Linked DNA regions of Mus musculus. The protein of the gene in region 1 interacts with the protein of each later gene in a biochemical or structural test. Links are inferred from orthologs where the notes say so. Each region holds a gene or a part of one and is shown in the gene's direction. Other genes may lie near its edges. The genes, in order: Pdzk1, Slc15a5 and Slc22a12.

Region 1 (6,681 bases):
GAATGCAAATTGATCCATTCTTATCTCCTTAACAAAGCTCAAGTCTAAGTGGATCAAAGACCTTCACATAAGACCAGAGACACTGAAATTAATAGAGCAGAAAGTGGGGAAAAGCCTCGAAGATATGGGCACAGGGGAAACATTCCTAAACAGAACAGCAATGGCTTGTGCTGTAAGATCAAGAATTGACAAATGGAACCTCATAAAATTGCAAAGCTTCTGTAAGGCAAGAGACACTGTCAATAAGACAAAAGGCCACCAACAGATTGGGAAAGAATTTTTACCAATCCTAAATCTGTTAGAGGACTAATATCCAATATATACAAAGAGCTCAAAAAGCTGGACTCCAGAAATTCAAACAACCCCATTAAAAAAATGGGTTCAGAGCTAAACAAAGAATTCTCAACTGAGGAATACCAAATGACTGAGAAGCACTGAAAAAATGTTCAGCATCCTTAACCATCAGGGAAATGCAAATCAAAACAACCTTGAGATTCCAGCTCACACCAGTCAGAATGGCTAAGATCAAAAATTCAGGTGTTGGCAGATGCTGGCGAGGATGTAGAGAAAGAGGAACACTCCTCCACTGCTGGTGGGATTGCAAGCTTGTACAACCACTCTGGAATTCAGTCTGGAGGTTTCTCAGAAAATTGGACATAATAATACCGGAAGATCCAGCAATACCTCTCCTGGGCATATACCTAGAAGAAGTTGCAACTGGTAATAAGAACACATGCTCCACTATGTTCATAGCAACCTTATTTATAATAGCCAGAAGCTGGAAAGAACCCAGATGTCCCTCAACAGAAGAATGGATACAGAAAATGTGGTACATTTACACAATGGAGTACTACTCAGCTATTAAAAACAATGGATTATGAAATTATTGGGCAAATGGATGTATCTGGAGGATATCATCCTTAGTGAGGTAACCCAATCACAAAAGAAGTCATTAGATATGTACTCACTGATAAGTGGATATTAGCCCAGAAACATAGAACACCCAAGATACAATTTGCAAAACACAAGAAAATCAAGAATAGGGAAGACCAATGGGTGGATACTTCGTTCCTCCTTAGAATAGGGAACAAAATACCCATGAAAGGTGTTACAGAGACAAAGTTTGGAGCTAAGAGGAAAGGATGGACTATCTAGAGAATACCCCACCCGGGGATACATCCCATAATCAGCCATTAAACCCAGACACTATTTGCATATGCCAGAAAGATTTTGCTGAAGGGACCTTGTTATAGCTGTTTCATATGAGGCTATGCCAGTGACTGGCAAATATAGAAGTGGATGCTCACAGTCATTTATAAGATGGAACACAGGAGGCTGTTGAGATGGCTCAGTGTGTAAGAGCAGTGACTGCTCTTCCAAAGGTCCTGAGTTCAAATTCCAGCAACCACATGGTGGCTCACAAACCCCGTAATAAGTTCTGATGCCCTCTTCTGGCGCGCCTGAAGACAGCTACAGTGTTCTTTATAATAATAAATAAATCTTATTAAAAAAAAAAAGATGGAACACAGGGCCCCCAATGGAGAAGCTAGAGAAAGTACCCAAGGAGCTGAAGAGGTCTGCAACCCTATAGGTGGAACAACAATATGAACTAACCAGTACCCCCAGAGCTCCTGTCTCTAGCTACATATGTAGCAGAAGATGGCCTAGTTGGCCATCACTGGGAAGAGAGGCCCCTTGGTATTGCAAATTTTATATGCCCCCGTACAGGGGAATGCCAGGGCCAAGAAGCGGGAGTGGGTGTAGGGGAGCAGGGCAGGTGGAGGGTATAGGGAACTTTTGGGATAGCATTTAAAATATATATAAAGAAAATATCTAATAAAAATACAAAATATATATATATAAAAAGAATAAAAAACAAACGAGTTAAGCTTGGCGTTCTGTCTCTGTCACGGCCGCCATTGCTTCCTACACGGCCTTGGCTGTGAAAATGAGAGGACCAAGCATACTTACAGACAGGGGGAAGCCCGCCACGAGAGGTGCCAAGATCATTAAACAGCAGCCCTGGGAGACGGAAGCTGGGGGATGGGATTCACTTGTGCCACCGTATGGGCACCTCTCTCATTATCAGTGTGTAGAGCTGGTTCTCACAAAACTCATCACAAAAATGTTTTGTCCTTTAGTACTGAAGGGCAGGGAGAACAGGGCCTTGGGGTAGTCCCTCAAAGGTGTCTCCCAAAGGGGAGTGTAGACAGTGCGCAGTGTCCTGCCTGCCTTTGTGGGGAAAAGCTTGTAACACCATGAGACAGCTCTGGGGTCTGGTGCAGAACTGTGCACTGTTTCTGTTATGCACATGTATGTGTCTGTGCACGTTTCTACCTTCTCTGGCAGTAGGAAAGAAACTTTAGACTCTCCCCTCCTCCTGTTGAGGAGGAGCATACATGTGAGACACCCTGTGTATTAAGCCATGACATTCAGTGACGTGTAATTGCTCAGATGTATATTTTTTCCCCTTTATTTTCCAAAGGCTCGGTTCTCTCCACTTCTTTACTGCCAAAGTCAAGAACTGCCTAATGGTTCTGTCAAGGAAGGCCCAGCTCCGATCCCTGCTCCTCTGGAGGCCACAGGCTCAGAGCCCACAGAGGACGCGGAGGGTCACAAGCCCAAGCTCTGCAGGCTGCTTAAAGAGGACGATAGCTACGGCTTTCACCTGAATGCCATTCGGGGTCAGCCTGGCTCCTTTGTCAAAGAGGTATGGTGACTAGTTCTGACAGCTCAGCAAACAGCCAATTAGGATGGGATTTTTTTTTCAGTGCAAGCCACAAGTCTCCGTGACACTAACAGTGGTCACACTTGGAAGTCCGCCTCTGAGAGTGCTCCTTGCCCACTGCTGTGGATGTGCACGGTGCCTGAACCCTGTAGGGGAGAGCAATGAGACCACCCTGTAGCTTCCAAGTTGGGATCCTAAGATGGGGGCGTGATGCCTTCAGCCCAGCACATGTTCAGTGCAGTGCTTTGCCAGTGTGGCTGAGCCCAGTGGAGTTCAGGGTGTATAGGCCATAAAGGAGCGCAGTTAACAAGTGTTGAGGCTGTTCAGGAGGGAAGCTGCCCGGCACGCCTTCTTCCATGCTTGGAACCGACTCAGAACCTCTGTTCACAGGTACAGCAGGGTGGCCCTGCTGACAAGGCTGGGCTGGAGAATGAGGACGTCATCATCGAAGTGAACGGGGAGAACGTGCAAGAGGAACCCTACGACAGAGTGGTGGAGAGAATCAAGAGCAGCGGGAAGCACGTCACTCTGTTGGTCTGTGGAAAGATGGCCTACAGCTACTTCCAAGCTAAGAAAATCCCCATCGTTTCCTCCATGGCCGAGCCCCTGGTGGCTGGCCCTGATGAAAAAGGAGAGACGTCTGCGGAGTCCGAGCATGACGCCCACCCAGCAAAAGACCGAGTGAGTGGTGGCCCTGCTTCCCTGGGGTAGTCCCCAGCCAGTGCCTCATGCCTATGCTTCCCAGTGACACAGGGTGGCCAACCTGCCAGGGTTTTGTGACAAAGGAGGCATTATGAGGACAAATTTATTGTCTTCTTAGAAATGTGGCCTCACTGTGGAGCCCAGGCTGGTGTAGAACTTGCAATCCTCTTGTCTTAGCCTCCTGAGTGCCAGGCTTGTGGTGTGTCATTATTTTTTTAGCATGCAGTTGGCAGTTAGTAAGTGAAATCAGTTTATCAAAATCATGGAGACCACCGAAGAACCTGACCTGATTACGCAGGACCAGTTCCTGGCTCTGTGCTCCAGATTTCCGACTTATAAAACATGGACAATGTGTACAGTTGTTTTCAGAAGTGTTTAAACTGTGCCTGGCTCACAGTAAGTAAAAACAGAGAGAGAGGCTTAGACTCCATGTTTAGTAAGTGTCAGGAATTACAATTATTTTTGTCAGAAGAATTTTTTTCTGGTCAATTTTCTCTTCATGGATAAATTTGAGTTTCAAAAGTAAACTGACATCCAAATTCATAGAAGGAGATTTATAGGAATCAGGCCTCCTATGAAAAGTCACTATAGTTTTCTACTGTATTTAATACTGCTGATAGGTCATGCCAATTATAGTACTAATCTGGCCTTATAGAAAACTGATGGTCTATGTGTATGTTGGTATATACACAGACAATGAGAAACTTGTTTGTGTTAAACAGTAATCTGGAAGCAAGTCAAGTGAAGATTCGGATTACATCTAGAGGTGCCTGGCTCTCTGACTTAAGGCATGCCAGCTCTAGATCAGCCTTGCTCTTTCCTGCTGCAGTAAACCCTTGTCTTTTTCCTTTGCACAGACTCTCAGCACAGCCTCGCACTCTTCGTCTAACTCTGAAGACACGGAGATGTGAAGAGAACAAATGATGCTTCCTCTTGAGGGCCCAGGAACTGCCTCTCCGAGGAATGAGCCCTGCCGACCCCGTCAGACCTCCTCTGGACCATCTGTCCCCCAGACTGTCTGTTGTTGTAAGGGCTGCTACTGCAGGTTGCTTATTTAAGCTCAACTTAGCCAGAGGAGGGACCAGGTTCAGGGTCTTTCTATGTGGTATCTTCCAAAGTGCAACTTTTCACTTCTGTTGATGAGACCTCTTCCTTCTGCAGGCTTGAGCACCTGGGATGATTCACTGTCCATGTGAGCGCTGCTAATTAAAGAATCAAGCAGATGCCTGTTATAGAAGTGTGCTTTTGTAGCAATGCTGTGGCTGAGCAGCATTGCTAAGTGCTTCTGAGTTGTTTGCAACTTCCCTGTTGGCTAATAGAATCCGAATAGTGTCTTTGTTCCATACAAACATTTCATGCTTTCTCATTTGCTTCCAGAAGCCCAAAACATGCAAAATACACACTGTGGTCTTAGTAATAAAGGGAGGCTTCCAGGAAATATACTTCAGCATTTTCTTATGTTACATTTGAGTATTAAAAAAAAACCTCAACACCTTCCTTTTACTGTCGGAGGGCTTATGTTTCAGAACAGGAAAGGGCTTGTTCCAGTTAACGTCTACCTCCAGCGCTGAGGCAGAGGGAAAGCCAACCCGAGCCAGCCACTGCTGGATTAGCACGGAACATTCACTCTTCTCTAATTTAAGAGGAAATAAAGATTGGTATACCTAAAATCTATTTGGTAAAATCTATCTGTTGCCTATCACCCCTTTCTCAGAAAAGAAGAAACAACCTTTTGGTTATTTTTACGGGGTAAAGTTGGGTGAGGGGAGAGATGCATTTCACGTCAGACCACAATAGCATAACACCAAGCTGTGCTGGACAAGTGACCCCAAGGCCAGAGTGTTACAAACTGACTTTACTAGCATTTTCGAGGGAAGCCGTGTAGTCAGGATTTCCGGGGTATCCTCATGCTCTGGCCCTCTCCTCCTCACTGCACAGCCTCAGATCCATGCGGCTCCCTGCTGAATGCTGCGGGTTTTCTTCTTGTGCCTCAGTCGAAGTGACTCCAGTATCTCAGGAGGAAGTAGGCGTGTGCCTGAGGCAGAACAGAACTCGCAGCTCTGCCTGTGTAAAGAGCTGTAGGCTCTGGTCTCCCCACTGTGTCTCCTTTCCTGAAGTTGGCAGGGAGTCTGAGTTCAGGGGGCCATATGCTTCTCTGGTGCCTGTTTGTGAGCCAGATAGAGGAACAATATGCTGGAGAGGGCACTGACCAGGAAGATGACATCAAACCAACGGTGATAGAAGTTGAACTGAAGCTCCCCGAGGACCTCTGTGATTATGGTGCGGTACTCCGGGGGCATGCTCATTCGGATCAGCAGTACAGAGGACACGAAGTACATACCCTGCAAAGTCGAGCCAAGTAATTCAGAAGTTACTCTGTTTTGAGGGGCAAGCCAGTGCAAACTTTAAGTTATTTATTGGGGCTGGAAAGAGAGCACAGTAGTTAAGGCTGACTACGTTTTCATCATGGGCTTGATTCCTAGCAGCCCATGGTGGCTCACACCACCTGTACCTCTAGTCCCAGGGGTCTAACACCCTCTTCCAGCCTCTATGGCATCAGGCACACACCTGGTTTATATACATACAAGTAAGCAAAACACCGATACACATAACATTTCTTAAATTATTTGTGCACATAGGTGTATTGGCGTGCATCTTCTTCAGTGTGTGTGTAGTCAGAGGTTAATTTGCCAGGGTTGGTTCACTCCTCTACCATGTGGGTCTGGGTACTGAACACAGGTCATCAGGCCTGGAGGCTACCACCTTTAGCAGCCACAGAGCAAGCCATTGTATGGGCCCAACTTAAACCATTTAATTTTTTTTCCTGGGCTGGAGAACTGGCTCAGTAGTTACATGTGCACGTACTGTTTTTGTAGATAACCCAACTTTGGTTCCCAGAACATTCATTGGGATCAGATACCCTCTTTGAGAGTCAATGGGCAACTGGATTCACATGTATACACATAAACACATAACCCCTCTCTTTCCCCAAAGAAAACAAAAACCAAACCCCAAGCATTTCTAAGCTGTATGTAGTGGTGCATGCATGCTTGAAGTCTCAGCACTTCAGAGACAGATCAGGAGTTCAAGGCCACCCTTCTTTACATAGATTATTTGAAGCCAATATGGACCACGTAGACTTTGTTTTAACAAAAACCCTCCCCAACAAAATCACATTTTGGGCACTCAACAACTGTAGACACAAAGGCAGTCAATAAACTTACCATTATCTGCGCTAACAGCAGGACGAT
Region 2 (6,146 bases), on another chromosome or scaffold:
CTGTAATAGTTATTTATCAGGTTCAAAGAGATCTCCGCATCAATTAAAAAAAATAGTGTTATCTTTCCAACAGATTCAGTGACAGGATCTTAAGAGATCCCTAGATTCACTTCATTTGTTAAAATGGGTAATAGGCTTCGTGTACACAGGTCTTACGATTAGAATATGCAGAAGACAATCTCATAGAAAACAGTGTTCAGTCGTCAATAAGTATTTACTCCATATGCTACGCACAGAACTAAACACAGAGCCCCAAGAATAAATGAGACCAGAACAGATGAGATGAATTACTGCCACGATCAAGATTACCCTTCCAACCCAGGGAAATGTTTTGTTACTTTTTAAGCCTGCCGTGTTGGGGTGTGTTGCTTATCATTTTTCCATTAATTCCCGAATGATAGATAATGAGCTTCCTCACACTGGTAACATTACCAAGGTGCACAATGTTCTAAGACCTGCGGGATAATAAAATACTCACAGAAACTTGCGACTCTGCAGCTGAGTGACAATCGCACCTTTGCTCCAAACAGGCAATTGGTTTCCAAACACATTAGACAAAGGCAATCTAGAGAACTTCTTCTTCGTGCTGGCATCCTTGATGCTGCTCAACATCCTGGGACTCTGGAGGGCTTCATGGAGGTGAGTGTGTGGGAAGAGGAACGACTTCTGACTCTGAAATACAGGTCTGAGACTCACTCGTGAGTGAGCAAACACAATCCCATTCGCCATGATGAGACAAACTAGCATCCTGCAGAAATGTAATGGATTATTCTGAACAAAAACTTCACCTTAGACTGCCCTTTTCCACCTATTCTCACACCAAATGAGTGCTTTATTCCATTCTAAAGCATGCTATGATGCCAAAGTGGTATTCTTTGTCTATTATAATACTACCTTAGAGTTACAGGATAAGTCAGTACCATTAACAACAGGTATCATTAAACAAACGGCTGAGACTTTAATGACCCAAAGAGATTTGGGTCCCATTCAATCCTTTACATCAGCAGTGGCCATTTCAAGGTCAATAGATGACAATCCCTTGGACACTGACCTAAGTTGTCAAAATAATGTAATGTCATCTTCCTTGTGCACAACCTCACGTGTCTTACAATTTGCCAGTGCAAAAGACTCTGATCATGGAAACGGTTTTCATTCACTCAATGCCTGTTTGCCAGAGAAGCTCCATGAGTCGGGTGCTTGTGTACCATCGCCTTGCCTTTCTCTTCTCTCTTTCTGACCTACACTAGCTATATGCGGAGAGCAAACTGTCTAACTGTCACAGTCTTTGTGCATGTCAATCACAACAGTGTATCAACAGCTGGTTTTAAGGGATGGAACTCTGAAAGATCGACTCTCCATGTGAGCTACATCACAGGAATTAGTTTTATTGCCCTCACCTGGCTCCATTTACCCAATGCGTTTACCCACAGATCGACCCACTCACTGCCACCTCTCCCTTGCCCAAACCAGTCTTGTATGCTTCTGTCTTTTGGGTCAGCATCCAGGTGACAGATGGGTGTGGCAAACCCAAAGCTTGTTGAGTCAGAACTTAACTTGTGCTCAGTGTTATCCTATGGCCCTGATATCTATGAGCTGCTGCACCATTATGGGAAATACTGAATCTCAGAAAGTAGGAATGGATAAGTACCAGACCTAAAACTCAAGTAGTCCCTTCAATATGAGTCTCTCTTACCCTTAGCAGCATACAAATCCTGCGTCTCTCCAACAATCTGTAATCTCTCTAAATGCCAGGCCCTTAGATTGTGAATGAAACTAGAAAATCAGAGAGTCTTTCAGGATGTCCAACGGGGATTTCCTCAGCTTTGTAGCAAACAGATTCAGCCATGAAAACAGAAGTTGAAGACGTGTGCTCTTTTCCTTCCAGCCCCTGACTCTTTTCCCCAAAGCCCCTGTACAGTCTGTCTCTCTTTTTTTGGTAAAGAAAATGTTTTGTTTCATTTTGTTTTTTCTCTGTGGCTGTGGCTGTGGCTGTCCTGGAACTCACTCTGATCAGGCTGGCCTCGAACTCACAGAGATCTGCCTGCCTCTGCTTCCCAAGTGCTGGAATTAAATGTGTGCGGCACCACCGCCTTGCTATAAGCTCTCCAGTTATTACGTTATGATCTTTCTGTAAGAATTAGCCTATGTCCTTCACAAAGGCTATCTTCAGAGTCCAAGCTGGCGAGCTCTGTTCCATCATGTATAAGTAGACAGTATAAGCACAAGCACACCCCTTAACCTAGCTAGGCGTTGGTGTCTTCATCTCTTACTGTATCCCAAGGTTGCTTGAAGTTGAGTAAATACACAAGAATACTAGCAATACTAAATGTGCCTACCAATTTGGCCTTACACACCCACTCTCTTCTGCTTTATTCTTCTCTTATACTTATGTCAAGACTAGGTCTAGTGGACTATAAGTATGATTGAGTTCAAGTAAGTCTTACTTGGAATCCAAATTCATCAGCTCCTTATGCATGCATGCAGTCAGCCAACCTGTTAAGCACCGTTCCAGGCACCAAAGAGACGAACTGAACCAAGGAACTTCATTAGTACAAAGGGATTCAAGATCAGTGTCCAATCTAAAATAGTCGAAGATCTGCGGTTATTGAGCAAGAGCTTAGGGTGGGTGGAAAGGAAGTGGTCAAGAATAAAAATGACCACAACAGGGGTGAGAGCAAGCAAAGTCAAGGGACTAAGCACCAGAGCAGGTTTGGTTTGGAAGAAGGTCTAGTACTGTCTGAGTCCTTTGTATGCCATAAGGACATTGATTTACATTCGAACTTTAGTTTTCTAGTCTGTAAAACGGGAACAATCCCTCCCTCTCAGGGTAGCATGGTCTGAGAAGACATTGGAGTAGACATTTTTTAATGGGTAAACATTTTTAAAATGTGGCCAAGTATTCTCTCTTTAACAATGATCTTAGCACCAACATCATGGGATGTCTGATACAGTATAGTACAGTACTATTGATAACACATCTGATAAGCTTTTATCAGATAAATCACGGTCCAAGCAGCCATGGGATCCACAGCCAATACAATTTCCGGGTTTCTTTCGCTGACAGTACAGAACAGACTCACCGGTGTTCATAGGAGAGCACCATCCTGCTGGCCGTGATGGTGTGTACTTATCCTACAAGCCCATCAATTAAGAGGCTAGAACCAGAGAATCCCCCCCAGTTCAAACAAGCCTAGACTACATATCGAGTCCTGAGAGAGCTTGGGCCACACGGCACGACCTCGTCTTAATAAGAGAGCACCATCTAAAGGGCCTTAGGGGAGCCTTACTCTGCCCTAGGTAGCACTCTCCTGTCCTTGTACAAAGACTGCCCGGGTGAGCCTCTTAAATAATCATCTCTCCGGTGCCAGTATCTACGATCCCATCATAAAAGGTAGGCAAGCAAGGGAGGGAAGCCCGTGATTTATCAAGTCATCTACATCTGCTCCTAAGGAAAGCTTTCTTTCTCTCTCTCTCTCTCTCTCTCTCTCTCTCTCTCTCTCTCTCTCTCTCTCAGATATTGTAATCTAAATCATTTTAATGCCCAGCGCATCCGTGGAAATCGTTGTGAAGAAACTCTTCTCCTCACTGAGAAGTCTCTGAAGTTTTATGGCAGTACACAGGGAGCATCTTCAAGTATTGATCTTTGGGAGACAGCCCTCTGAAACTGGATTTGATTCTCTTGTGAGACCCGTTATCCACTATTTTCTTCTTCAATCGAATACTTCATACGTTTCACTGGGAAAGTCAACATAAAGAAGAGTGTACTTTATTTACAATGAATAATTATGATCCTTCCAATAAACTATGATGACTTTTAATGATATATTATGCTCTTGAACTAATAAAGCGATTTTAAAGTCTTGGTGATTACTCTGTGACCGGAAACAATCATTTTCCATGTTAGCGTGTCAATCATATTGTATAATCATTACAGTGGTTCAGCAGTTGAAGGTGATATGAAAGATTTATTTATAATTTTAATGTCATTAGAAGCTAAGAAACAATATGCTTCTACTTCTTCTTTCTGTATATTCACTAAGGCTTTATTGCATTCTAGGTATTATAAACCATAAGTAATATGATGTTTAGATAATAAATGTGTATAGAATTCTGCTATATTTGACCTTGGCATTCTACTAAAATATATCTTGATTAAGAAACTTTCTTCAGAATTTAAAAGCAATGTTACTAAAATAGAGGTCGTTTGGTTTGGTTTTATTTGGTCTTATCAGGTTTGGGACAAGATCTCATAGAGCCCAGGCTGCCCTCAAACTTAACTATGTAGCAGAGGATGATCAAAGAAGTGGAAATACAGACAGATGCCTCTCTAGGCCATACAATTATTATTATTATTATTATTGTTGTTGTTGTTATTATTATTATTATTATTGAATAAAGTTAATGTCCTGTCATCTCTTTATCACAATTTGCCTCAGTATGTGACAAAGTTTGGTTTTCAGCCTCCTATTTTAGGCGACTCTGTCTTCTCCCCAAACTGCATGTCTTGTTGACGCTACCCTAAGTTCTTCCATACTGCCGCCCAGACTTTAAAGGTTCTCCCAGCACCCTTCCTTGACTTCCTCTCCAGAACCAGGCTAGATTGGGCAAGAGCATTTTTTTTAACTGTTCATTCCAAGAGACTGTGATTGAATGCCTCTCTTGCTGATCTGTCCAATGTTTAGAGCCATGGAGTAAGAAATGTAGCCAATTGTAACTTGATTAGGTTACAATGTGCATTTTTAAATGCTCTAAGCGCAGTCAAACCCCAGGCGTTTTTCTTATTCCAGCTACTTGCTATGTGTTCCTTTGTTTGGAGGACAAGTTTATAAAGTCAGCTCTATAGGCAGAAATTCTTCCCCACAACTTATTCGTTGTTTTGCACAATTCCCTGGCAAAACAGTGGGGCTGAGCCTGCTGCTCTTACAACTTTCCTCGCTGTGAAAGGTTAAATGCCAAGCTTGCAGTTTTGGGCTTAATGAACACCCCAAAGGAGCCTCATTAATGCAGTATCTAGCGCATTGGTCTCATAATGAACATCCCGAAGATCAAGAAAGTTCCAAACGCCTCATCTTGGTGTAAATGAAAAGCCACAGCGTGCTCTGGCTGTTAGAAAAGGACCGGGACGACTTTGGCCCTTCCCCAAATGTCCCTTCATCTCCTTAATTTCTACATTGTAATGGGGAGGGAAAAAAAAGGTGTTCATTACACTCTCGCTCTTCCTTTGCGATGAAAGAACATCAGAAATTATAAAATTGACCCAAAGCAAGCAGCAGAAGAGCTGAGAACTCGCAGGTTGGCGTTGACACTTGTGATTAGCTAAATTGCAGTAACTACAGACGCTTCGGTTGGGAACAGGGTGCATTCACACGGCAGTTTCTTCTCTAGTGCCTGGCGACATTATCTCTGAGCACCTGGAGTAGTTTAGGCATTAAGTGTAATTGGTTTTGCTTTACATAAATCTGGAGCTTTGTAAATAAGCGGAGCGTTTCAGCTTCTATATAACACCAATTAACTTAAAGGGATGCCTTGTTTGCAGAAACCCGCTGCGTTCCGTACTGTATTTCTCTCATAATGTGCTCACTGGCAGCGAAGTCCTGTGTCCCTGCAGCATATCATAGGTTCCAGCCGCTTCCTCCGAGGGCCTCTCCCAGCCGCTCACTCTCTCCAGCTCACAAAGCGGCTGAAAGGCGGCGGACAGAAGCCAGTCTTCCCTAAAAAGCCCCCTTACGCTGGATTTCTGTTCAAGACTGAAACTTGAATGGAGGGCTTGGAAAATGTTTTCTGTGACCCATGAGCCCACAGGTCTGACCCCAGCTGGTTCTGTCAGCTAATGACAGAGACATCTTTCTCTTTTTCCCTGACAAGAATTCGGTGAAGCCCTAATTCAGACATTGTGCCTATACACAAACAATCTTTACATGTGTTTTCATTATACAAGTTTAACAATAAAGTTTTCCCAACATATTGCCTTGTTTCTTAACAGGAAAACAACAACCACAGTGTCTGAAGAAAAAAAAATAATAACTAGGATCTGGAAGAGGGTAGATTTTTCTCCCAGGCTCTTTGGCCATTTCCCCTTATTATATCTCTCTACTTGGCTGACTTCCTTGTCTGTAGTATCCCCACTTTGATACTCTGAATTCTGG
Region 3 (6,919 bases), on another chromosome or scaffold:
CCGTCTGTCCTCTTCAACAGACTCAACTCCGAGGATCCGGGACAAAAGGAACACCCTTCCAGTTGCTGCTGAGTGTGCACACTTCCAGGGCTTTTGGTCATGGGGCCAAACCCTCTAAGACAGTGCCAATCCAAAAGGGAGCCAGGCAGCAGGGGCCACTGGGCTTACTTACAAAATCTTATCCACGGGTCTTGAGAGGACACCAGCTGCATCCTCCAAAGCACACGTCTCTCCTGTACTCAAAATTGCAATGTCCCCATTCCCCACTGCCTGTCTCACTTCTTATGTCACCAGCCTTCCTTGTCTTCCCAACACCACAGGACAGAGAGCAATCCCTTAGGGCCTAGGAGCACCCACTTCTGCAGCTGGGCCCTGTCCTCCTAGACTCAAGGCCTGTCCCTCTGGGGCTTAAGGACTTGGCTCCAACCAATGTTCCTACTTCTACTAGTCACTGTGGTCCCAAGCTCTAACTGGGAACCCACATTTACACAGAAGTGAGCTATACTGTCTTCTCTAAAGCAAACACTAATGACCTATTAGCCCTAGAGTGATAACAGCTCACTGTCCACAGATCCTCTTTTTTGCTTCTCAGTGTAGAGCTGGAATCACGTCTCCACCCACCCACGACTGTCTAGAGGCGGCCTTAACTAGCTCCTACCACTAAACTGAGGACAGAATTACTGTGTGTCACCTTCAGCTCAGGGGCCACCACCCTCTCTTGCCCACCATTGAAATGGAAAGCTCTGGTTTCTTTGGGGACTCAGTTATGTCACGTGATGTTTCGCTGAAGCAGACATGTGAGGGAATGCGTGATGTTTAGAAAGAATATAACTATGACCCCACAGATAGTGTGGCAAAGCTCTTATATTGGTTCGCCTCGCACCACGTGGCTGATCTTCGCTTGCTGTGGCTTCATAGAGGGTAACTTGCCAAAGAACTTCTCATGACATTCCAGCGGCGTCTGTGGGCTCCTGCGGCTCAGCAGAGCCTCTCGGTTTCTTCTGGATTGAACTGCTGCTGCTACTGACTCGTGTTCGGTGCTTGTTGAGAGGACTGAACTCCCACTGCTGATTTGTGTCTGGTGTTTTGATAGTGGACTGAACCGCTGATATCCTGACAACAATGACTGCATTGTATCTCCCCCAAAGAACTACTTCTACAGAGATCCACAAGCCCATTTCCTATTAACCCTTCTCTTCCTCTACCTCTGGTAGGTGGGCTAGAAGGGAGGTTGGTGTGTTAAAGAACATTAATCAAATTAGGTTTTGAAAAATCTAAGCCTACACTCCAGCGGCTGACACATGAGGCCAGTGCCTTCCAGTGACAGCTGCAGGGGTACACACACAATGGGACTGCAATCCCAGACTCCCCTTGGAGGACAGCCACCCACCCATCAGTAGCAACCTGGGACTTTACACAATTAAGAAAAAAGGTTCTGGACTGGAGACATGGCTCAGAAGCTGATCATGTCCTGCAGCCCTTCCAGAGGACAAGTGTTCAGCTTCCAGCACCCACATCCTATAGCTCACAGCTGCCTGTAACGCCAGCTCCAGCTCCAGGGAGTCAGATGCCCCTCTTCTGGCCTCTGTGGGCACTTGTACTCAAATACACAAGCCACACACACACACACACACACACACACACCAAATACTTTTATTTTAAAAGAACGTCTGTGTCAGGAATCGTACGGACATCTCTATCCCATCATCTGCCACCTGATCACAGCGTTTCCTCTTCTACTCTCAAAACTACCTTGAACCCAAACCAGTCAGTACCTCTGGTGCCCACAGACTCCTCCCGCCTCTACACAGCCCTCATTATCGGTTCTGTCCAGTCACTCCCATGGCTTCCTGGGGACACTTTCCCCTTTGTCAGGCTTTCCCCCTCCCAGGAGCCAGGAATCTTACAAATGGAAGTCGAACTGCTGGAGAGACGCCTCCTGGTCAAGCATTTGCTCTTCTTCTAGAGGGCCAGGGCCCTGGCGTTGAAGGCAGGATTTAGTGTAAGGCTTTGCAGTGTGGCAGTAGGTGAAAGGGGCGGCAGAAGGAGACAGGTCAGGGAGGCGACAGAGCAGAGCAGAGGCAAAGGGGGAAGTCCTCAGAATTAGTCGGCTTAGAGACACTAGAGGCTGAGTTGCCAGCCTGTGAACTGTGACTCCGTTCCAGGCAGAGGGCCATGTAATTACAGGCTAAAGAAGTGGGTCCTAAGACAAGGAGACCTGGGAAAGAGACAGAGGTCTCAATACTTTAGGATATTTGTCTTGAAGAGTACAGGGGCATATGCTAATGTCAAAAGGGCTTAATGAGGCTCAGTACAGGGAATCAATAAGGGAGTGCAGGAACAGTGGCAGCTTCAAAAGGCTAATGAGGCCTAGAGACTGAGTGACACACCATCCTCAAGCAGAGGACGCCATCACTCAAGCTAGGATCAGGCCAGCTCTGAGGTTGGGAGGACCAGGGCTCACCCTCTCTCTCCTGGGTTAGCTCACAGTACAGTCATGATGTCTCCTGGAAGGCAGGCAGGAGCACCGAAGGATGGCGGCCCCAACACACTTAGTGGCAGAGCCCGTGTCCAGATCTTGCCGCATCCTAACAGAAACCAGGGCCATGAAGATGGGGGCGGGGTGGTGGGAGAAACTGCCGCTTTCATCTGCAGTGGTGTTGTCCTGGTTAAACTTTGAAGAAATGATTACTAAACCCTCTTCTATTAAATGGCTCCTAGTCACACTTTAATTCTACCCAGAGTGACTTCTCTCTCCACCCTCCTTGCTTCTCAAATTTGGTTTTTCCTGAGAGCCAGACTCTGCTGTGTCGCTGAGAGGTTCCCATGGCCTCCAGATTACCACAGAGGGTTCCAGGTCTCATGGTGACAGCCAGCAGGCAGATACACAAGAGCCTTGACTGGCTGTGACTCAGCAACATGGCTGTGTGACATGCATATGAAGAGACTGGTGTGGTCAGAGCCAAGGGGAAAGCAGGCTCATCACAAAGACCCCATGGTCCTGGGCCAGCCTCTGTGAAGTGGAAGCTGCGTGGTGGTACCCAGGAGAAACCCATGGCCTTTCCTGAACTCCTGGACCGAGTGGGGGGGCTGGGCAGGTTCCAGCTCTTCCAGACGGTGGCTCTGGTGACCCCCATTTTGTGGGTCACCACCCAGAACATGCTGGAGAACTTCTCAGCCGCAGTTCCCCACCACCGCTGTTGGGTGCCTCTCCTGGACAATAGCACCTCCCAGGCGAGTATCCCTGGGGACCTTGGACCCGATGTTCTTCTGGCCGTCTCCATCCCACCTGGTCCTGACCAGCAACCCCACCAGTGCCTCCGCTTCCGACAACCTCAATGGCAGCTTACAGAGTCCAACGCCACGGCCACCAACTGGAGTGACGCTGCCACTGAGCCATGCGAGGATGGCTGGGTTTACGACCACAGCACCTTCAGGTCCACAATCGTGACCACGGTAACAGCACCTGGGAGGTCAAAGTCACAGTCACAGAAAGGATGCACCTCCCCAAGCCTCCTCACTTGGGAGCAGCCATGTAGGCTTGCAGGGGACTGGGCAGCGGGAGTCATCTGCAAGGTCATAGTTAGTGGTTCATGCCTATGACCCCATCTCTAAAGAGACAGGAGGATTCCTGAGTCTGAGGCCAACCTGGGCCACACAGTGAGGTATGTCCACACAGCCTGGCCTGGGGTACCATTCCTGTTTCTACATCACCCGATGGCTTTACCCATAGTTGAACCTCTGCCATGACTCCAGGCCACCTAGACACAGGATCCTGTCGTCTGTCTCTGGGCTGAGCACAGAGGACCTGAACAAACATTGGCCTCTTATAAGAGATGTTGGCAGGCTGGGGAGATAAATCCGCAAACTGTCTGTTGTTGAAGCATGAAGACTTGAGTTCAGCTCTCCAGCATTTGGGGGGAAAAGCCAGGCTCAGTGGTGGTGGGACTGTAATGCCAGCTCTGGAGAGGCAGAAACAAGGGAGCCCCTGGGGCTCAGCTCTAGCTGGCTAGCCAGCCTAGCCAGTGAGCCCCAGGGTCACTGAAGGACCTCTTCACAAAAACAGTGTAGACAGCTCCAGAGATTGAACTCTGACCCTCACAAGCACTACACCATGGAAAGGCATGCACGCACACACACTCTCTCTCTCGCACACACACACACACGCACACTCACACGCACACGCACGTGCATGTGAAGACGAGGAGCCAGGTGGTGGTGGTGTATGTTTAATCCCAGCACTCAGAAGACAAAGACAGGAGGATCTGAGTTTGAGGCCAGCCTGGTCTACAGAGTGAGTTCTAAGACAGCCAGGCAGGGGAACTCTGTCTTGAGATGAAAAACCAAAAGAGAGGTGAGGGAGGGGAAGCCAGTGGAGAGGGCCAGCTGCCCCAGCAAGCAGGAAGGACCCTGCATGAGGAGCAAGAGGAAGTAAGCCTCCAGCGAAGGGAAGGCTCCTCAGCTACGGGCCAAGGCTCAAGAGGGAGCAGATGAAGCTGGAGGCTCTCCACCTTTGACGCAGTATAGGGCTGACAGGATACTCCTTAAGAAACCAAGCCACTAAGCCTGTGGGCGCCCTCGTGGCCCCACACAGCCCAGGCCATGCCCCTCCTGATCACAGCTCTGCCCCTCTTTCCCTCCAGTGGGACCTGGTATGTAACTCCCAGGCCCTGAGACCCATGGCCCAGTCCATCTTCCTGGCTGGAATCCTGGTAGGAGCCGCAGTGTGTGGCCATGCCTCAGATAGGTGAGTGTTCCCCGCTGGGCCAGGCGGTCTCTACTGAGTGAACCCCACATCCTTTCCAAATTAGAAGTTCCCCTACTTTCTCCGGGATTGTGGGGCCACTGCTTCGCTCTGAATATTCATTCCTAAAATTCTCTCTGCCACACACTTGAGCTGTTGCTTCCTGCCTCTGCTAAGGGGGAATTCACTTGCTAACGCTCCTCATGTCCATGGCCCTCACATGGGTCATGTGACTTTCTACCTTCCTCCTCACTGGGGGCAGGGACAGGAGGGCCCTTGGTGGCCCAGATCTGTGTTGCTGGCCAATGGCATGTCTTCCTATGTGTACCACAGGTTTGGGCGCAGAAGGGTGCTGACCTGGAGCTATCTTCTGGTGTCCGTGTCCGGCACAGCAGCTGCCTTCATGCCCACCTTCCCCCTCTACTGCCTGTTTCGTTTCCTGCTGGCCTCTGCAGTGGCAGGTGTCATGATGAACACAGCCAGTCTCTGTATGTCCCCTGATTGGTGCTGGGTCGGGAAGGCTGCATGCAGGACCCAGAATTGACCCCTTTCTTGCTCCTTGCAGTGATGGAGTGGACATCAGCCCAGGGTAGCCCTTTGGTGATGACCTTGAACGCCTTGGGCTTCAGCTTTGGGCAGGTCCTGACAGGTTCTGTGGCCTATGGTGTGCGCAGCTGGAGGATGCTACAGCTGGCTGTCTCTGCCCCCTTCTTCCTCTTCTTTGTTTATTCATGGTGGGTGCTGCAGCCCCCCTCCTTGAAAGAAGTTCTGCCCACTCTCGGGGATAACGATGGAAAACTCCTTTTCCTGCCGACAAAGGGTCTAGGAGTTCTGGGGACCAAGGCCCTCAAGATGGTCACCACTGCTGCCCAAAGTCCAGGAGCCCCTGTTCCAACTTACCTGAAACAAGCCAGATGCCATCTTTCTGTGGCCCAGCAGCAAACTGGGGCCACAGTCCATGTTCCCTCTCCCAGGAGGGGTCTAGCTTCAGCCCCTTTGGCATGCTGCAGACCCCAGATCTCTGCTTTACCCTGTCTCATCCCACCCTTGCCCAACCTTCTCCCCCTCCCCCCCTGACCCCCAGCTTGATTCCTATCTCCAGCCTCAGATCTCCAACTACCTGCCTGACTCCTACCCCTAACTCCTTCGCCTGCTTCCCAGGATGCCTTTCGCCCCTCCACTGTTTCCTTAGCCCAACAGGCCACTGAGAATCACCACTCTGTCTGCAATCTCATTCCCTTACCCTCCGCCGTCTTTCAAAATCAGAGGTGCTCAGAGTCCCAGGGGTATAAACAGATGGCTCCTCCCCATGGCTGCTCAAAGGGAACAGCATGTCCTTCTGCAGGGGAGGAACTTTTATAAACATAGACTTGGATATAGTGTGTGGTGGCCACTACCAAAGGCTCAGAGGACTGAGCAGTTTAGTGCAGCAAGTGAGTTTGTGTGTGTCTGTGTGTATGTGAAAGAGAGAGGGGAGAGAGACAGAGACAGAGAGAGACAGGGAGACAGAGAGAGACAGACAGACAGACACACAGAGAAAAACAAAGAGAGACACAGAGACAGAGAGAGGTTTGATTCTGAGACAGAGAAAAGCAAGTTGGTATGGAGCATCGATATCCTGAAACAGAACCAGCTGAGTTGGCTCCAGGGGAACAATCAGGTATCATGGGGCCAAAGGGTTCAAGGATCAGTGGTTGCCAGGGGTTCAGACAGAAGGAGCTTGGTGATGTTACAGACACCAGGCCTAGCCTGAGACCAGGCAGGGCTGGGGAAGCTGTCTGTAGCAGGAAGACAATACAACTGTGGGGCAGGGCAGGAGGAAATGTATATGGCATCGAAAGATGCCATGATGGCGAGACACCCCCCCGCAGCCATTGTGGTCCTTACTGTACACAGACCTGGCTCATGGGTAAGGCTAAGGAGAAGCCATAGGACAAGAAGTTGGAAAGGGACAACAGAGTTCCTCCGTATCCGGCAGCCTGCCCAGGGATAGAGAATATTGGACTCCCCTAAACTCAGAGAGGAAGGAGGCAGGAGGACCACCTGCTGGTACAGGTGGTAACCCAGGTGCCCTGGATACACATGCCACCATGGTCTCATTGTCCTTTATGGCCTCCACTGACTTTAGCAGCCTGAGACCAGAGCTTCCAATCCCCCCTGAAACCACCCCCTTAG

The links.
Region 2: the proteins of Pdzk1 (region 1) and Slc15a5 interact in a test that uses a peptide from one of them, tested with the Homo sapiens proteins (2 studies listed by IntAct, with this or other methods). The link is inferred for Mus musculus from reciprocal best matches to the Homo sapiens genes PDZK1 and SLC15A5.
Region 3: the proteins of Pdzk1 (region 1) and Slc22a12 form a complex in vitro, tested with the Homo sapiens proteins (2 studies listed by BioGRID and IntAct, with this or other methods). The link is inferred for Mus musculus from reciprocal best matches to the Homo sapiens genes PDZK1 and SLC22A12.

Annotation. Positions count from the first base shown.
Region 1 is NC_000069.6:96,865,823-96,872,503, forward strand, and holds the end of Pdzk1 (Na(+)/H(+) exchange regulatory cofactor NHE-RF3), read left to right. Parts: intron 1-2,475; exon of another isoform or gene 2,476-2,485; coding exon 2,486-2,710; exon of another isoform or gene 2,711-3,118; coding exon 3,119-3,409; exon of another isoform or gene 3,410-4,287; coding exon 4,288-4,341; 3' UTR 4,342-5,104; downstream 5,105-6,681. Other genes in the region: Gpr89 (Golgi pH regulator), read right to left, coding at 5,566-5,772, 6,655-6,681. UniProt on the Homo sapiens protein: A scaffold protein that connects plasma membrane proteins and regulatory components, regulating their surface expression in epithelial cells apical domains.
Region 2 is NC_000072.6:137,981,866-137,988,011, reverse strand, and holds the end of Slc15a5 (solute carrier family 15 member 5), read left to right. Parts: intron 1-530; coding exon 531-639; intron 640-3,514; coding exon 3,515-3,662; 3' UTR 3,663-4,422; downstream 4,423-6,146. UniProt on the Homo sapiens protein: Proton oligopeptide cotransporter.
Region 3 is NC_000085.6:6,538,888-6,545,806, reverse strand, and holds the start of Slc22a12 (solute carrier family 22 member 12), read left to right. Parts: upstream 1-2,736; 5' UTR 2,737-3,054; coding exon 3,055-3,456; intron 3,457-4,643; coding exon 4,644-4,747; intron 4,748-5,077; coding exon 5,078-5,232; intron 5,233-5,309; coding exon 5,310-5,478; intron 5,479-6,919. UniProt on the Homo sapiens protein: Electroneutral antiporter that translocates urate across the apical membrane of proximal tubular cells in exchange for monovalent organic or inorganic anions. Involved in renal reabsorption of urate and helps maintaining blood levels of uric acid.